Sus scrofa: one gene and its partner. The protein of the gene in region 1 purifies or fractionates together with the protein of each later gene. This does not show direct contact. Links are inferred from orthologs where the notes say so. Each region holds a gene or a part of one and is shown in the gene's direction. Other genes may lie near its edges.

Region 1 (2,983 bases):
TTTCAGTCATTCCTCCACGCAGGAGGTGGCCCGTGGCTTGGTCGATAGTCCAGAGTGGCCCTGGGAAGGGCTCCTCCTGAGACATGTGGCATGAGATGCCTCACTTCACTCATTCCATGTCAGAAGAGCCAAGAATTGTAGCAGCAGTGACATTTTATTGGGCTTCTTTAAATGTTTGTTGCCTCCCTGTTCTCTCTCCCCAACCCCAGCACAGACAGACTGCCAGAGCTCTGGCTAACTCATGTTATCCTGGGGAGGCCCTGTCTTTTATTGGCTTATTGTGATCCCCTATTCATGCATCCATCTGCCCACAGCTGGGCTCTCGGCCTCTCTGTTCTGCCACCTGTGTGCAAGGACGAGGCCTGTGCCAGTGATTCTCCTTAATCAGCAGCACTAAGCATGTGTGTTACAGTTTTAAGTTTGGGAAGCCTGCCTGGAGAGTGGTCAGTCTGGGTTTTAGGAGCCTTCTCAGAATATGATGAGCTTCTGGGGGCAAAATTTTCCATATGCTGCAGGGGCAGCCCTAAAAAGACAAAAAAAAAAAAAAAAATTCAAAATACTCCTAGTTTCAAATATTCCATCCTATTGCCCCACAAATCTCTATAAATCTCTCAGATATCCTGGAAACTTTGTTTTGCTCTTTAGGGCTGCCCGCACAGCATATGGAGTTCCCATGCTAGGGGTCAAATCAGAGGTACAGCTGCTGGCCTACACCACAGCCACAGCAATGCTAGATCGGAACCACATCTATGACCTACACCACAGCTCACAGCAATGTTGGATCCTTAACTCATTGAGTGAGGCCAGGGATCGAACCTGCGTCCTAATGGATGCTAGTCAGATTTGTTTCCGCTGAGTCACAATGGGAACTTCTCCATGGCCCTCTTGTATGTAGAATCAGCATAAAAATACATGGTTACATTACATGTCTTAAATTTGGCATTATGACATGAACTCTCCTGGTGATGAGTAAGTAAAGCTTGAAACTCCAGGGCAGGAGAACTGGACTGTTGAGGTTGATGATGCTGTGCAAGTGAACAAGATCTCCCGTTTCCCCACAAATGTTTTGTGTGGAAGCTAAGGCTTTACTTAGAGCTAGCAGCTCTTTTTTTTTTTTTTTTTTTTTTTCTTTCCTTTTCTAGGGCCGCTCCCGCAGCATATGGAGGTTCCCAGGCTAGGGGTCCAATCGGAGCTGCAGCCACCGGCCTACACCACAGCCACAGCAACGCTGGATCCTTAACCCACGGCGCAAGGCCAGGGATGGAACCCGCACCCTCATGGTTCCTAGTGGGATTCCTTAACCACTGCGCCACGATGGGAACGCCCCAGAGCTAGCAGCTCTTGAGTTTGAACCCAGGTTTAGTAGCAACCTGGAGAGTAGAATTAGATTCAGCAAGCTGCTCTGCTGTTTCATAGAGCCTTGGGGGGACCCCTGCCCTCCCCGCCAAGCAGCCATGGGAGCAGGCCACCGCTCACCCCAGAGCCTGTGTCCTCCAAGTGGCTCTGGTCAGTCTGAATGGGAAGCTTCGCTCTCCAGCCAGGCTCCCTCACATTCATCTGCATAGGCAAGCAGTGGCTCAGGGCTGGATGGCTCTGAAGTGACTGTACTGCTCAGGCACCCTGGGAGCTGCAGCTTTCGTAATTTTAAAAGAGGGATTTCTCTAACTGCGGAGAGATACTCTTTCTGCTTTCTAATCAGATAAGTGAGGCAAGATCAGTTGGTGTCGTCCTGCTTCTGCTGATTCTCTGTATTTATTGGACTTTGCTTTTACATTGCAGGTAAACTAAAAGATCTTGGGAACTTGGTTCTCCGGCCTTTTGGACTCTCCACAGAAAATTTCCAGATCAAACAGGATTCCTCTACTGGCTCCTACTCCATCAATTTTGTTCAAAATCCAAATAATAACAGATAACAAAGATAACAATAGCTTTTAAAGCTGGTTTGGAAATTGCGTGCTGCTTGCTGTTAGCAAGGGAAAAGGCCTTGCCCATGTTTAACTTTCAAAAGCATCTTATCTCAAAGACAGGCTATCTACTAGAGCCCAGTGCGCCCTCTCCCCCTTGTTTTATGATCAGGGTGAAATGCACTTCCTGATGCAATGAGCCTAATTTGATTTCCGTTTTAAGGTAGTGTCTGTGCAGCTCTTGCCCTGGTTCTGGCTGTCCCTCATTGTGTCCAGGAGAAAGCCTGCTTGTCAAGGCTTACCTCCCGAAGTGCCACAGAGATAAGCCTAGCCAGAGTCATTTGGGCCGAGCAAACCTGCCGGTCGGAGACTAACCCAGCCAGGATTGATGGCATTCCCACCTGCTGCCCCCAATCCCCCATCACACATGCCACCCAGGCTGCTGTGTGTGGGCTCAAGCGTCCCCTGAGTTCCTCTGTGGTAATAAATGCTTCTGTGATGGTCTGAGCCGGGTTGTGAATTTTGTCCTTGTGATGACAGCTAAAGCAGGTTTTCCGGCTTTAGGAGCAGCATTGGTTTTGAGCACTTACTTGTTACTGGATTGCAGGAATCTGCCCAGAGCCTTAGTTCCCACCTTGAAGATGATCTTGAAGAGTTAACCATTCTACCAAATGCCAGAATTCAGAAACTCCCACCTTATAAGCTGCCTGTCTCTAGGTTTGTGCAGATTATTATGAAATCATTGCTTTCAACCAAGCATCAATCTTAGTAATTTCAGCTTAAAATAGCTTCATTTGGGAATGGTAGTATGTGAATCCCAGAACAAAACCGTATTCTTCTAGACTCCATGAACCCAGAAGTGTCAAAGATAGCCTTTTTTACCCCTAGTTGTTGATGCTGATAATAAGCTTTCGATTGTTACAGTTTTTCTTTTTTTTCTGAAATTTTTTTGTCTTTTTAGGGCCACACCCAGGCCATATGGAGTTTCACAGGCTAGCGGTCAAATTGGAGCTATAGCTGTGGGCCTATGCCACAGCCACAGTAATGCTGGATCCGAGCCACGTCTACGACCACAGTGC
Region 2 (3,652 bases), on another chromosome or scaffold:
TAGATGGAGGGGGATTATTGCAGATAGGCTAAATAATATAGAATAGCGGAAATTGTACAAAATAATCATTTTTTTTACGACCTTGATCTTCAGTTTCTTCTAGTTGCAGTTTTAGATACTGTGTTAATGTCATGTTGCTCTTCATCATTGCCTAAGTCACAGCATGTCGAGTCCCTCCAGTTTGCTTGTTTCATGGTTCTCAGAACAACCAGTCTCCTCATTCTGGACCAGTCTGAAGCACCTCTCACCGAACACGCTGTTTTCCTGGAGCCAAACCTCCCTGTGGCGCTCCTGGATGGACGAGTGTAGTTTAGTCTCAGCAGCCTTAGTGTTTCCATCAGGCTCTTCAGATTGTTGCTACTCAAATGGCTCGTCCCCCCACCCCCTCAACCCTCCCACCCCCCATCCTGGTTAGGTTATGTGTGCTTCTACTTTAAATAAATTAATCTGTAAATAAATTAGACTTCTTTGCATCTAGTCTTTATGTTGACTGGTTTGTAGGGGCCTGAATGACACTGAGTCCATGATATAAGTACACTCAGTGTAACTTTTCCATGACTTATTTGGCTCATTTTTGAAATGTGTTTAAGCTTCACTGTATCTTTTGCATTCCAGTCTTCCCACATTTATGCTCCACAAATTGGTTATGACACTCAAATTGGTTTCTTCTCCTTTTCCTTATAAAAGCAACATAATAACATTGAGAAACATTTCAATAAAAAGAAAAATCTAATTCTGCCACCATGAGAAGATATTGATTAATGTTATTTAAAATCCCAAAGAGTGGGAAGCTACCCATCAACTAACAGGAGTGAGGTGTTTAAGTCATTTTGATAAGGCACAGGATAGAATATTTAATGACATCATGTCATTTAAAGTAATAGTTAAGGAGTTCTCATTGTGGCTCAGTGTTAACAAACCCGACTAATATCCATGAGGATGTGGGTTTGATCCCTGGCCCTGCTCAGTGGGTTGAGGATCCAGCATTGCCCTGAGCTGTGGTGTAGGTTGCAGACATGGTACAGATATGGCGTTGCTGTGGCTGTGGTGTAGGCAGGCAGCTGCAGCTCCCATTTGACCCCTGGCCTGCTCCTGTGGCCCTAAAAATAAAAATAAAATAATTAAAATAAGTTTGCATACATGAATGATAAAAGCATTACATGTATGCTGATTTTAGAAGCTATGCATATGAGGGAGTTACCATTGTGGCACAGTGGCAGCGACTCTGACTAGTATCCACGAGGATGCAGATTCAATTCCTGGCCTCGCTCATTGAGTCCGATTCCACCCCTGGCCTGGGAACTCACATAAGCTGCAGGTGCGGCTCTAAACAGCAAAAAAAAACAAAAGCAAAAACAAAAACCCCATGCATATGAGAAAATATTGGAAGATAATATATAAATAATGGTTATGTTGGGTTGATGAGAGGGTGGTGAGTTCCTCTCTCTTTCAAAATCCTCAATTTTCTGGAGTTTTAAGAATTTGTTTAAAAATTGAAAGCCAGTCGTGAAGAGTTTGAGGATTCCTCGTTTTAATTTTTTCCCCTCTGGTTGGCCTCTTGTACCCTCCTCTTAATTTTTTAGTTAACTTTCTGTGGTATTTTTGCCCAGACCTGAAGATTGCTCGGTTGCCCTGCTGTTGCCTGTTTGCCTTCATCTTTAGAGCAAGGTTTGCTCCATTTGCACAATTCTTGTTTTCTGAAGCCCACCCACTCTCATGGGTACTCATGTTCTGAGTTGGTAGAGAGCAAAATATATCTAAAACAGAATTTTTAATAATAGTGATGGGATCAGTGAGGACGACGGGAGGTTAGAGCGGACAACAGGAAAGACGGGAGAAGAAGACAGAGAACATTGAAGCAGACTTCCTAAAAACTCGTCACAGCTGGGAAGCTTCCGAAGAAAATGAAAACTCAGAATGTTGACCGGAACTTCATTATAATACTAGTAATTTTTACATGAATTTAGACAGCAGTGATCAAATCACATTCTCTTCATAAGAAATAGTAGTTTTGTCCCTTGAACAAACAGTATATACTTAATATAAAGTCAGGAGCTGGGTGCTGTGGCAGGTGTGTAACCTACAGTTAGACTGGTGAGTGCTGTGGAATGCTATAGTTGATTTTGGAAATGGTTTTTGTTAGATGTTTCTACCCTTCCATCTGAAAAGTTAAGGATGAGACTTGGTGCATGCATTTGGGTAGGGTGTGTGTGATGGTGTGGATGATTCTGGGGAAAGGGCGCTGAGGCCACAGGCTCAGGACCCTGACCTCTGTGTGTGTCTCTGAGCCTTTGCCACTGGTGTCATGCATGTGAGTTCTGGCAGGACTGAAGATTGGGGGCTTACAGATTTTTGTGTGTGTGTCTTTTTAGGCTGCACCTGCAGCATATGGAAGTTCCCAGGCTAGGGATCCAAATGGAGCTACAGCTGCTGGCTTACGCCATAGCAGCAGTGACACCAGATCTAAGCCGAACCTGTGACCTACACCACACCTCATGGCAACACTGGATCCTTAACCCACTAAGCAGGGCCAGGGATCGAACCTGCATTCTCATGGGTACTAGTCAGGTTCATTACCGCTGAGCCACAAGGGGAACCCCTGGGGCTCACAATTTTAAAAGTGCTTGAATACCAGTGTGATTTCCGTGTTGAATTCATAAGCAGGCGTGTTCTCAGTTATGGTCGTGTGTCCTTAACGTCATGAAACTGACTTTCGCCTTTTGTTCCCATGACACATCTTTGTCTTCATTATTTTCCCCTTCAGTGTTTCTATCCTTCAGCTTTTTTTTTTTTTTCCATTGGTAGAAGTTAGGTTTCCTTTGAAATGTTCTTTTTGGATAGTCTCATTTTATTGGAAGGATTGCAGTGAACTCCCCTTTTGCTCCAGAGCCTCCTTGGAAGTGCAGAGTCAGAGCACTGACAATGAACTTCATGTTTGGATTTTGGTTGGTGGCGCTTTTTGTACTTACGGAGTAACTGCTGTTGGCCCAAGTGCTGGATTTAGGGGTCAGTGTACAGAGAGCTGACTCTTGTCTCCCTGCCTTTGAGGTTTGGTAGGGAGGACACTCCGGGTCCACTATTGCTCTGTGGTGGAGTGAGTGCTCAGGGCCATGGGCGCACAGGAGGGAGTGTGCTGCTCCTGCCGACCTCCCTGACCGCCTGCCAACACTCACTAACTTAGTCCTGAAGGTGGACAGATGACTAAACATTTGGTATTTTAAAAACTTCCTAATAGTGAAATTGAAAATTGGGAAGACTTTTCATTTAAATAATTTTTTGGAGAAGGATGTGGAGTTTAAATTTTTGTTTAAAACCTGTGAGAAGATTGAGTCCTTTAAAAGAACTCCGATCCACTGTCTTTGTGATGCAGAACGACATGGAGCCCAGCAAAGCTGCGCCCCTGAACGCCGCCAAGCAGGATGGGCCGGTGCCAAAGCCGCACAGTGTTTCCCTCAGCGATGCGGACACCAGGAAGCTGGTGGAGGAGTGCAAGCGGCTCCAGGGAGAGATGGTGAAGCTGTCGGAGGAGAACCGGCACCTGCGGGTGAGTGCTTGCCATAGCATGGCCTGAGTGGGGCCAGGCGTGGGTGGGAGGGGCCGCTTGATGTCAGCCTTGACCGAAGCCTCTCCAGTTCCTTTTCCTTCCCCCAAG

What was found. The genes of interacting proteins can lie anywhere in the genome.
Region 2: the proteins of TTC1 (region 1) and VAPA purify together in Homo sapiens (affinity purification with mass spectrometry; 5 studies listed by BioGRID and IntAct, counting the BioPlex papers as one, with this or other methods). This does not show direct contact. The link is inferred for Sus scrofa from reciprocal best matches to the Homo sapiens genes TTC1 and VAPA.

Annotation. Positions count from the first base shown.
Region 1 is NC_010458.4:63,457,778-63,460,760, reverse strand, and holds the end of TTC1 (tetratricopeptide repeat protein 1), read left to right. Parts: intron 1-1,779; coding exon 1,780-1,913; 3' UTR 1,914-2,405; downstream 2,406-2,983.
Region 2 is NC_010448.4:98,216,134-98,219,785, reverse strand, and holds part of VAPA (vesicle-associated membrane protein-associated protein A), read left to right. Parts: intron 1-3,370; coding exon 3,371-3,544; intron 3,545-3,652. UniProt on the Homo sapiens protein: Endoplasmic reticulum (ER)-anchored protein that mediates the formation of contact sites between the ER and endosomes via interaction with FFAT motif-containing proteins such as STARD3 or WDR44.